Linked DNA regions of Sus scrofa. The protein of the gene in region 1 purifies or fractionates together with the protein of each later gene. This does not show direct contact. Links are inferred from orthologs where the notes say so. Each region holds a gene or a part of one and is shown on either strand. Other genes may lie near its edges.

Region 1 (3,616 bases):
GCTTTTGATCAAATTGACCTCACTGAGATTGGAGTCCAGCTTCATTTCTCTCTTTTCCTTCAGGTTCGCGCCCCCCCTCCCCAGCCCCTCCAGCCCCTGTTGAGTTTTGAAGGTCCCATTTGCTCAGTTCTCTGGATCTGCCACTTTTTGGCTCTGTGACCTTGAGCAAATGATCTTATTACTTTGAGATTCAGTTTCCTTATCTTCAAATAGCAATAGAAACAACATCTTCCTCCCAGCATTGTTGGGGTGAAAAAAGAAGACATCAAATGTGAAACTTTAGTCCCTGGAAATAGTAGGTGATCAATAAATATTCATTCCCTTCTTCCTTTTTAGAGATGAGAAAATGGATGAGCCTGAGCTAACATGGTCTCACTGGTTGTCTTCAAATACTTCAAGGGCTGTCACGCAGCACAGAGGAAAGACACATTGCTTTGGTGCTCTAGAGAGCAGACCTGGAGCAAATGGGTCAAAACAGAAAGTAGACAGCTTTCAGCTCAACATAAGGAAAAGCTTTGGAGAGCTGTCTCATGGCCAGTGCAGTGGAGCTCACGAAGTAGTGAGCAACTGGTCCTGGAAGTATTCAGTCAGCATAGATTTTCTCGCCAGTGCTGTTGGCCTTTGAAGCCAGATAATTCTTTGTTGTCAGGGGCTGTCATGTGCATTGCAAGACGTTTACCAGCATCTCTGGCCTCTGCTCACTAGATGCTATTGGCAACCTCTGCCTTGCTCCCTGCCCTTCTTGTGACAACCAAAAATGTTTCCAGGTATCTCTGGGAAGGCAAAAGTATCCCTGATTGAGAAGCATCGAACTAGAGGCTAGATGACAGCAAACTAGACTTCCACTTCCCAAGGTCCCCTCCATCCGACCCCACACTGCATTCTTAACAACAGTAGAATTCTAATGGTGGGTCAGTTACCATCGAGGCTACCCAGGTGACGTGGCGTAGTTCAGTTTGGGCCCTAGAGAGCAAGTGAAGCTCCCCTTCTGGGGGTGGTTTAATGGTTTGCTGTTTATCGTGGTTTTGCAGGTCATGTTGGCGGCTTCCTACTGGTCCCTCCTGGCGCCAGCGGTGGAGATGGCCACATCCTCTGGCGGCTTTGGGGCCTTGGCCTTTTTCCCCGTGGCTGTCGGCTTCACCCTCGGAGCTGCTTTCGTCTACGTGGCGGACCTCCTGATGCCTCACCTGGTGAGCTCCGCGCCCCCTGGGGGCTCCGTGTCAGGATGTAGTCGAGCTCTGTGCTGTAGATATACTTCTGTTCCAACTTGACATCCCTGGTCGTGTCTCTTAGGTAGCCAGTGATATTGAACTTGATTATTTCAAGCCACTTAGGGCTTTTATCTAGAGGAATTGGATTGCAACTTCATTCCCCAAAGAAAATAAGCTTTGCTGAGTATGACTCATCATCCCCTTAGTTATGTTATGGTAAAGTTCAGATTTTAAATGTCAGATCTCATCACAATTATAGAAAACAGCTGACGTCGTTTGAGGCGACACTGTACGTAGGAGTGGACCTGACACTGGGAGACGGGAGTGGCCGTGATGGTGGTCCTGACCTTTAAAGAGCTTATGGTGTCACCAGGGAGATGACAACACACCCAGCTACCACCCAAGACCATGGACAAGGGCTTTTTAACAGGAGGATGAGGTGGCTTGGGTTGGGGAATGAGCATGTACTTGCTTGCAGAGAAGCATGATATGCACACCAGCCTGAAGTCTGGCTGCGGTCACTGAACAGAGAGCCAAAGCCGGGCCCTGAACTCACGACCCAAGGCCGTTGGCTAAAATGGGGTTGGCTGAAGGGTCCATGATGATAAAGATCCAGTGCAGGCACATGTCACCTTACCAGATGCTGTGTACCAGCAAGTCCCAGAGGTGGCCAGAAGCCCCCCAGAGAGACCTGAGCTGGCGCCTGATATCCCTGCTCTCCCAGGAAGGGAGGAGGCACAGGAAGGACCATGTGGGGAGAGCTGAGTTTCTCTGCTGGATCGTCGGCTGGGCCTGTACCCCAGGAGGCAGGCTCACGTTCACTCCACTCCCCTGCCCACCTGCCTTCTTTCTCCCCCGCTGGGGAGGGAGGAGGAAGAATTCCTGGGCACTTGGCCCAGGCACTCCTGAGAAAGTGATGACTCCTGTCCCAGAAAGACCCCCTCTGACCAAACAGCTGGGCGCGATGGTTGGGAAGAGAGCCATGCTATTGTCTCAGAGGAAAGACCACACGGCAGTTTTGTTCATTGAAAGCTTGCATGGCCGTGTCAGTTTCTGCCCCCGGACCCTCTGCTTCCTTGCCGTCAAATACGTCCACTTGGTAACGGCTTTGAGAGGTCCTCCCTGTGGCTGCCCTCACACGCCACCCCCGCCCCCCCCCGGTTATGTGTACACTTGCTGTTGGAGTGTGTCCTCACCCTGGCGGGAAGATCTGGCAGCCAGTGGCCTTCACTCCTGATGAGCAGACAGGGGGCTGGCTCTGCACAGCCCCTGCTGGGTCTCCTCCTGCCCTGCCCACCTGGCTCCACCTGTGGGCTTCCAAGGCAGTATCTTGCAGAGGGCTCTTTGCAGTCGTGATGGGTCACCATTCCCTGCTCCTGGGGCCAGGAAGTGGGGAGGGCAGGTGTATTTGATCAGCTGTCTGAATGTTGAGGCTTTATCTGGGCAGTGCAAATAGTCATTGAGCAATTTGTTCTGTGCTGTGGTACTTTTTTTTCCCCTCGTCTTTTTTTTAACCTCCTGCTTCCTTATTTATTCTACTGTATGCTTTCAATATAGAGAAGATCCCAGGGGAACGTCTTGGATAGACTACACAGAAAATTAGGAAAGGGCTCCAAAAAGGCATAATAACTATTAACGCTCAGAACCTCGCTAAACGGGCAGAAAGATCAGCCTGGCAGCAAACATCTGTTCCAGGACATTTCGAAAGAAATTGGTTCTTGCTGTTGATGTGAGAAAGGCAGTTTGTCTTGGAAAGTCTTATAAACAGATAAGCATTATTTATAATTGCTGCAGTCACTGAATACAAAGGTGGTCATACCAACGGTTCTTGGGAGCCGTCTGTCCACGCTGAGACGGGCTGGAGGTTTCCCTGGGTTTCATTATGACTTTGCTTACCCAGAGACGGCGGCAGCTTGGACCTATGGACGATGCTTGGCAGAATCTGAGTGAATGGGTTTACTTTTTTTTTTTGTCTTTTTAGGGCTGGCTGCAGCTGCTGGCCTACACCAGAGCCACAGCAACACTGGATCTTTAACTCACTGAGGGAGGCCAGGGATCAAACCCACATCCTCATGGATGTTAGCTGAGTTCATTACCACTGAGCCACAATGAGAACTCCATGAGTGACTGGGTTTTGATCTTGAGTCTGTGTGGGTTGTCTAGCATTGGCTGAACACCCCCCAGGGAATACAGTCTTCTAGGGGTGTGGGGCGGGCGGCAAGAATTTGGTTTCAAACCCTCACTGCAGTGGGAGTTTAGGAACCAGGAATTTTGTGGGTCAGCTCAGACCGAGATCTTTTCAGTTTCCCGTTCATTCCACTTTATGACAGAGCCCCACTGTTCGGAGTTCCTGTTGTGGCCCAGCAGGTTAAGAACCCGCATGAGGATGCGGGTTCAATCCCTGG
Region 2 (4,185 bases), on another chromosome or scaffold:
AAATGCTTGAACTCCATGAAACATCCATATTGTTTTGTTTTACTCTAATTCAGTTATAACAAATATGTAACTAGAAATAACTTGGGAAATATTCCAAACAGCAATTAGATCACCTCTGTAGAAACTGGAAAATATATAGAAGGAACCAAGTAGGCTTTCTAAGATTAATATATAGTCTTTATGAGAAAAGACTCATTGTCCGTCTTATTCTCTACTATATTCCCAGTATAGAACAATGTACAAAATATGGTAGATGTTGAGAACTATGTCTAGATACTCATGTTGCAACAGAAGAAAGGGTGGGGGAAAAACTGTAATTGTAATGTATACATGTAAGGATAACCTGACCCCCTTGCTGTACAGTGGGAAAAAAAAAAATATGGTAGATACTGGTGTTTTTTCTTTTTTGATAGTAATAGCAAAACTCAACATGAGGTGGTTTCTTAAAAGTTAGTCGCACTGTGGAATTTGAAACTACATCAATGAATTTGAACCTATAAACCTATAAGAGAATATATTACTTTGAAAATAATTCTTACAGATCCCAGGAAGAGGGCTCAGAGAGCCCTCATACCCTCCAGGGTTCCCTGGACCACATGTCAAGAACCACTGGTTTACATAGTACTTTTAAAATTAGTTATTTAAGCCAAGGGATGTTGGTTTTCCTTTCACAAGATAATAAATAGATGTTTAAAATGAAACTTTCAATTTAAATCTATTTTAAAATATATATGAAATAGTACAGGTAGGCAATCATATTAAAAAATGTGAATTATTTTCTAAAACAATAAACCTCTGCATTCCTGTAAACCTACACTCTATAAAGGAGGAAACTAGACAATGTTTCCTCAGCTCTTCTCTTGGTTGGGTCTTCTAACACTGAGGTCTTGACTTCGCATGTCAACCCTTCAAAAAGGTGGTCCCCAATTAACCTAAAGAGGCTTTATAATAGATTTTCCAAATCAGTCTTATTACATAGAATATTTTAAAATGATTGGTGCCATAATATAACTTCACTTCAGTAACAATGGAATGTGTCAAGTAGAGCTGCTTATAACAATAACAATATCACTAATAGGAATTTTTAATTCCTTTTCTACTTGATAAGGCATTAAGGGGAGTAGAAAAATAAGTGACAGTCATCTACATTTATTCATAACCTGGTACAACATAATAACCTGGTTTACTTAATCAAAAGGTTGATCATAGGTTAAGATATAGAAACTGTGCTAATGGAAAAAAAAAATTCAAACAAAGCAAACAGTGGATTGTACAATCACAGAAGATTATTAGATCCCTCAGGACACCAGTTAAATCACTTTACCCTTCTGGGTCAGTTTCATCATATGTAAAGTGAAAGATGTCATTAAGTGTCCATATCTGTATGGAATCTGAAATTCAGATAATTCTACAATCTAACATTCTGTAGTAGGAATAGGCTCAAAAATACTCATTTTGAAAATTAAACTTCTGAATGATTTGGGATTGCTATTTATAGATGACTTCATTTTAGAAAGGTTTTTTTGTGTGTGAAATATCAAATTTACTAATTTGATTTACTAATTCAAATTTTTGTAAATTTAAAATCAGATATACTTAGTTTTGTTAGGATATTAAGCATACGTTCCAATATTAAAACTAGATCATATTTATGACATTTTTTTCCCCTTTGATGCATAGGTAACAGTTTTCCATCTTATCATGCAACTAGTAACACTTCGCTTTGGATTACTTTGTGGCATGCAAAATGAATACCTAGATGTTTCTAATAGTGACTATGACAAAGTCATATCAGTGACTATTAGTCACTATTAGTGACTGTCATACCAAATTTTCACTTTCCCAGATCAAAAAAGGTGGAATGTATAAAACTTCATATGGTACAAGAAAATTATTAAGGTGACGGATTAAAAGCCAACACTAAGAAACTGCTGCTAAAAGAACTTTTCTTCTTTTACATTTTATAAAATACTATAATAAGATCATTCCGTATTACCATTCAGTTACTCATATAAATATTGATTTAGAAATTGGGTACTAATTTATAATTTATAAATGAAAGAGAGAAACACTTGGTGGTCTAAATTCTCCCAAAGGTACCACAGGTTTTTAAGACAGTTATCACAGGTCTGCACCCATGATACTGGGGGCGGGGAGAGGGCAATGCCAGGTCACTCACTGGGCCTGCAAAGGAGGCTCATCGAGGCTTCGCCTCACCTGACCGTCCTGACGACGAAGTACACCAGCACCGCACCACTCACCACCATCAACACGGTCAGGGCCCGCTGGGTCATGGGCTTGTCGCTGGGGTTAGGGCTCACAGCAAGGACGCCACCCACTGAGCCTTCTTCCCCCGCCTTCCCGCCTGGGTCGGCAGCAAGCTCCGCCCCAGGAAAGCTGCCATTGCCGCCCTCTGCGCCCCGTGGTCCTGTGGCTTCGGCCTGAGCGCGGCCTGGGGACTGGGGAGCTGTGGGGCCAGGTGGCAGAGGTTGCAGGGTCCTCGGCCCACGGTCTGGAGGCCCGGGATCCTGCGCGGCCTCAGCCGCCTGCAGCAGCACCGCCAAAGGCCCTCTCAACTCTGGCAGTAGTAGCAACAGCAGGAGGGCGGAGGCGAGGAGGTGGCTGAGGCAGCAGCGATAGTGCGTTGCCTTCATCGTCCCCGGACGGCCCTCTCACCACGTGGGAGCTTCGGGGCCCACCGCCCTGGCTCCAGGTGGGACCATGGGAGCAGCGAAGAACGAAGAAAGGGTGACCAAATCCCGGGCTAAGGCCCGCCGCAGCAGGTGGCACAGGCGGCAGCTGCTGCAGCTGCCGGGAGAACCGGAAGTTCGTACATCTCAGCAGCCCTGCTACTAGGGACGCTTTCGGTTGCTAACATGCCAGGGACGGCGCCTTTAGTGACGTCAGGCGCGCAAGGCCACTAGCGCAGGCACCCTGCCTGCGGGCCAGGGGAAACCCTCTGTGGTTGGTTCCCTAGTAACAAAGTAAACAAAAGAGAGTAGTGTAAAATGTGCAGCAACACTTTGCATGAAAATACTTTAAGAGATTGGAAGCTCCTAATTTGAGTTCGTTTGTGCAAAACTGCAGATATGCAGCTTATTGTTTATTAAGACCGCTTTGACGTTTCCCTCAGCTCAGGTACAAATTTTATACGGCTTTCTTCCTTAGAGCATTGATGTTAGAAAACTTGTAACTGTGCATTTATTTTCTGTGTTTTTGAAATATAAATCTTTAAAACGGTATTGGTGGTGTTAATATCCAGGGCTCTTTATTAAAGAATTAGGAGCCATCCTTTTGAAATGTCAACAAAGATAGCACTAGCTCCCAGTCTCTGTGGAAGGGTAGGAGCCTAATTTAGGGGGGCACCTTGTTCAGAGTTGTAGAACTATCTCCTGTCAGGAAGCTGAAAGAAAAATTTACTTTTCTCTTGGGTAATTTCATTTAGTAATCATAATTGGCCTGAGGTGCTCCCTGTTCTTAAATCTCTTAAGTTTTTTGTTACTTTTTGGTGAGTTGAGATCAGAGTCCTGGCCTCTCTCCTCTGTTGCAATAATGTTGAATAAAGTTTTCTTTGCCTGTTTAACGTTGACATCAGTGACGTGGAACTTTGATTTGAGCAGATGCAAACATACAAACAAAACACCAGACCAGAAGTTGAAGTTAGTATTTGTTTTTTAAAAAAATTATTCATTTAGCATTGTTCAGATATTTCACTCCTTGCTTAGCACTGTGTCTGAGTACTGAATAGTAGAGGAGTAGGACATGGTCCTTGCTCTTATAGCACTTAGGTTCAAATGGAGATAACACAATGAACAGTTGCATTCATTCTGAATTTGGAAGTGTGTCGTAAATAACAGGTATAGAATCTACAATAAAATTTTTCTAAAGGATTTTTGTAGATAAGGTGGACAGGATAGTGTCTTCTGCCTGCTTCAGGGTGACAGAGTAATGCAGTTGCTTCTGCAGTGTAGAATTACAAGGCCTCGGTGTCTTAATGCTGGGTTCTAGTGTGAGGAAATCCATTGGTGACACACCCCAATTTTAGCTTCCTACCTGGGCATTTTCAGTAATGAGGTGGCTCCTTGGGTTTCCTGTCTCCTTTATTAACAACCTTATTCAAAGCCATACATGGAATAGGGTTAGTATGTAATGCCACTTCCTTCTACTTCTCAAAAAAGTCCAGTA
Region 3 (4,356 bases), on another chromosome or scaffold:
GCCCAGCTGAGACTCAAACCCCCACTTCTGCAGTGACCGTAGCCATTGCAGCCAGATTTTTTTTTTTTTTTTGCCTTTTCTGGGGCCGCTCCTGTGGCATATGGAGGTTCCCAGGCTAGGGGTCTAATTGGGGCTGTAGCTGCTGGCCTACGCCAGAGGCACAGCAACAAGGGATCAGAGCTGCATCTGCGACCTACACCACAGCTCACAGCAACATCGGATCCTTAACCCACTGAGCAAGGCCAGGGGTCAAACCCAAAACCTCATGGTTCCTAGTCAGATTCGTTAACCATTGAGCCACGATGGGAACTCCATTGCAGCCAGATTCTTAGCCCACTGCACCACAGCAGGGACTCCCAGGGTCACAGTCTTGGTGGGGTCATTTGGGGTGTCCTAGTGGTTAGTCTTCTGAGTAAGGAAAGGGTATTACAGTCACAACGATGACCTTTCTGCAGCAAAAAACCCATTAGGGTTTCCTTTCTTCATTTCACTTCCTTCTAACAGAAATGCATTGAGCATCTATTACATGCTTCAGTCCTGCGGGCTGGGGAACCAGGGAAATGAGTGATGCTGATGGGGCGGTCAGGGGAAAACATGAACTGTGATTTCACCATTTGCCTGATTCTCGAGGCAGCTTCATTTAGAGGCCAGGACCCACATGAACCAGTGTCCAGGGGCACCAGCAAGATGCAAACTCCCTGACAACCATGCTCCTCACCTTCAAAGTCCTCCTGAGTCCAGACTCGCCCAGACTGGCCAATCTCAATTCCCACCAAGAACTTCCCAGCACCCCAGGCCCCAGTAATGCCAGGTAGCTCTCTTCCTTGAAAACATCAAGTGCTTTCATCCTCTGGACCTTTGCTCAGGCTGTTCAGGCAGCTGACACCCTGCCCTGTCCTCGCCTTGCCAGCCTCTTAAGAATCTATTCAAAGGATTTATCCACCTTCTGTGAGAAGCCTTCCCCTAAGACACCCTTGCAATACATTATGTCTTCCTCTGTGACCCCTGCTTGGTTTATTTAACATCTGTTCACTGAGTATCTGCTCTGTGCCCGACCCTGTGCAGGTCTCCTGGAACAGGGGTAGTTCCGCCTGGGATGTCAGTAGTTAACATCAGATTCTCAATGCCACCAGGGATGGGACCGAATCTCAATGATTTCTGTGTTTGTGTCTCTCACTCCCGTGTTTTGCACTTTGTGGAAAGTGTCAGACAGAGAGGTGGCTTCTAGACTGGGCTCTGCCCACTAATTAGTCGTGTGATCTTGGGCGAATCTTCCGGCCCCTCTGGTCTCCCTTCTTCCTGATGATAAAACCCCAGCGTTGTTCAGGGGACAACGAGGCAGGGTACAGGGAGGCATCACGAAAGCTGGGAGCTCCCGGCCAGTGAAAGAGGTGGGGTGACGGTACCCTATTCTCCGTTCACTGGCTCTGAAGCAGCGCCGCTTCCCCTTCGCTCTCTTCGAATGTCAAGTGCACCAGCTTCCAATCCCTCCTCGGGGCGGGCCCTCTGGCAGCTCGGAATCCTAGGCTGCGGAGGATTCCAGTGCAAACTCTAGACTCTACTCCCGCCCAGCCGCCCCTTCCCAAGGACTCGCCGAACACACCTTAAACCTCGCTCCAGAGCGCAGTTCAGAGCGCAGTCCAGGACCGCGGCTCCGCGGCGCGGGCCCGGGCCGGGGTCGCGCATCTCCGGTCGGTGACTCAAGGCCGCTGGGTCCGGGGGTGGGTGAAGGTAGGCGGGACCGACCAGCGCCGCGCGGAGGCAGCCGCCGGGAGCTCGGCCGCCCAGCAGTGGAAGCCGAGACTGGCTCTGGCCCATCGCCATTCCGCCGCGGGCGTCTGCCTCGCCCGGCCTTCCTCCCGCGCGGCTTCGCACCCGCCGCACTCCTCTCCCTGGGCGCAGCAGCCCCGCGGCCGGCGGGGGCTGGAGTTCGGGGCGGGCTCTGCGCGCGAATGAATGGGCGCTCGGGGGACGCGCGCGCCTGGGGCTGAAGGGCATTAGGACCATGAGGATCGCTCCGCGCTCCTGTCTCTCCCTATCACCCCCCCACCCCCACCTCTCTCCTTTTTCTGCGCTGCAGGACTGAGCAGCCCGGCGCGAGCGAAAACAAACAGCTGGGGCTGCGAGTGCCCCCTTTCCGGCCCCAAGAGCACGCCGGCCCGGGCCCCTACTCGGGGCGCTCGCCCGCCCACCATGAGGAAGATCCGAGCCAATGCCATCGCCATCCTGACGGTAGCCTGGATCCTGGGCACTTTCTACTACTTATGGCAGGACAACCGAGCCCACGCAGCATCCTCCGGCGGCCGGGGCTTGCAGAGGGCCGGCAGGAGGCCGGAGCAGCTCCGCGAGGACCGCACCATCCCGCTCATTGTGAGTACGCGCTGTGCGCGGGGCGGCCGGCAACGGAGGCGCGCTTCCTAGCCCCGCGCGGCTGCAGAGGGCGCGGGGCCGGGCCAGGGGCTGCGTGCCCGCCGCGCCCCGCCAGCATTGTATATGTTGGAGCATTCCTGTCCGTTGTTATGGCAACCGCTCTCGGGCTAGCGGGGCCAGGGCGCAAGGATGGAGGGAGGGTGACAGCGAGTGGGGGCTGGGAGAAAGTGCTGCAAGTTTGGTGGGCCCGGCGTCCGCGCACGACTGGGAACGTGGCCGCTTTCTCAACACTGCGCCGCCTGGGCCGGGGGCTGCCGGTGCGTTCCCCCGCCCTGGAAGGCAGCTGAACCTTGAGCGCAGACAGCCGGCAGTGGAAACCGCTGGGTGCTGAGCGCGTAGGTGGCCACGCGCACCCCCTCTCTAGCCTCCTGGGGGCAAAAGATGTGTGGCGGGGACGCGGGGTGAGGCTGGGTCACTAGGGGCTGTGCTGGACTTTGAGCTCCCTTTTCAGCCCGGGTAAACTTGAGTTTGCTTCTTTGGCACGGAGGACTCCCCGCTATTGGGGATGTCAGGGTCGCGGAAAGCTGTTGTCCAGTACACGTCCCCCACCCCCACACCAGTCCATCACGACGAGTGAACCAGCAGCGTCTGCGCCCAGGTTCGGAGATAGCCTCTCACGAGATGGGCCCGCGACGTCAATGCGAGCCGGGAAACCAAGTCGGCAGGGCAAGCGGGGTGGGGGGCCTCCGCGGAGGGGCAAGGGCGGGAGCGCCCTCCAGGCGCTCTGGGGACCTGGGCCAGCGCGTACTTGTCTCGGCCTCCGCCCAGGTAGCAAGCAGCTCGTGTGGCTGGGGCACCTGTTGAGACGGGAGGCTCCGGGACCCGCAAGAGGCTCGCTCCAGGCGGGCCGCGTTCTTTCGCTGCAGGGCTGCAGGCGAGCGGTGGGCGAGACTCTTGGGCGACAGCCGGGACGAATTGCTGGGCGAGGGCAGTCTAGCCAGGAGGAAGGAGAGCAAAGGGGCTGAGAGTGGGAGAGTGGAGCCGGGTGGCCATTCTGGAAGATCTGGGCCTGGGGCGGGAGGGCGGTGGGAGCTCCTGGAGAGGCGCAGAGTCAGGAGGGCCGAAGGCTGGTGTGGAGCAGAATCTGAGCTATTTGTACCAAGGCAGCTGAGCTCCAGGAATATAGTGTGTCTGTCGGGGCGTTGTGTGTGTGGAAGTGCTCTCATATTCCCATCTTGCGGCAGCTTCCGTGTCTTGTTACCCACCCAGAAAGAAGTAAAAATCCTCTGCCAAAGAATCGTATTTCCAGGCTTTGCCTGAGGAGACCTTGGGGTTTGCAGGGGAGTTTTCCCCAGCTCGACACCCACCCCCACCCCCAGCTTCCCAGATCCCTGAGGTCTCTGGGGGCAGCCTTATTACGTGGAGTGTTTCCTTCTAGGCTGAGGGTTCCTGCCACTAGGGCACTGTTTCCAAAGCACTTGTGGATGTTTGGACAGAAAGGCTGATGAAGAAAAAGCCTCCTCTGTAAAGATCCTGGAGTGCTGGGTTAGAGACACATTAGACAGATTAGAGTCGGAACTGGGCACTAGGGCTGTGGCCTGGGACCCTAAGGGAGGGTCCACAGTGGGGACTCTTCCCAACTGAGCTGCCTGGTTCTTACTCTCTGAGAGGGGCAGCTCTGGGCCAGGGTAGGCGGGCTTGGAATGGCAGGGGAGAGGCAGGCTGGCCAGATGTTCTGTCCTTCTCTGTGGTGACGTGATGGAGGAGGGTCTGAGCTGGAAGAGGGGGAGGAGGGGAGGGAGGAGGGGGAATGGAAGGCAGGAGCACCGGGAAACTGCAGCTCAGGAGCCCGCGGCTGGTCTCCTCACAGGTGCTTCGGTTTCAGAATCCCGGAAGACCATTCAGACCTGCGAAATGATGAAAGCCTGGGATTGGGGGGGTGTGTGGGTGGTGGTGGGGGTGTTGGGGATACTGGTGGAGGCTGAT

Evidence for each region.
Region 2: the proteins of SLC39A11 (region 1) and FAM174A purify together in Homo sapiens (co-immunoprecipitation; 3 studies listed by BioGRID and IntAct, counting the BioPlex papers as one, with this or other methods). This does not show direct contact. The link is inferred for Sus scrofa from reciprocal best matches to the Homo sapiens genes SLC39A11 and FAM174A.
Region 3: the proteins of SLC39A11 (region 1) and GALNT16 purify together in Homo sapiens (co-immunoprecipitation; 3 studies listed by BioGRID and IntAct, counting the BioPlex papers as one, with this or other methods). This does not show direct contact. The link is inferred for Sus scrofa from reciprocal best matches to the Homo sapiens genes SLC39A11 and GALNT16.

The regions. Positions count from the first base shown.
Region 1 is NC_010454.4:7,885,232-7,888,847, forward strand, and holds part of SLC39A11 (zinc transporter ZIP11), read left to right. Parts: intron 1-1,031; coding exon 1,032-1,190; intron 1,191-3,616. UniProt on the Homo sapiens protein: Zinc importer that regulates cytosolic zinc concentrations either via zinc influx from the extracellular compartment or efflux from intracellular organelles such as Golgi apparatus. May transport copper ions as well.
Region 2 is NC_010444.4:106,553,957-106,558,141, reverse strand, and holds the start of FAM174A (membrane protein FAM174A), read right to left. Parts: upstream 2,901-4,185; 5' UTR 2,655-2,900; coding exon 2,218-2,654; intron 1-2,217.
Region 3 is NC_010449.5:92,927,310-92,931,665, forward strand, and holds the start of GALNT16 (polypeptide N-acetylgalactosaminyltransferase 16), read left to right. Parts: upstream 1-1,524; 5' UTR 1,525-1,691; intron 1,692-2,062; exon of another isoform or gene 2,063-2,080; 5' UTR 2,081-2,193; coding exon 2,194-2,370; intron 2,371-4,356. UniProt on the Homo sapiens protein: Catalyzes the initial reaction in O-linked oligosaccharide biosynthesis, the transfer of an N-acetyl-D-galactosamine residue to a serine or threonine residue on the protein receptor.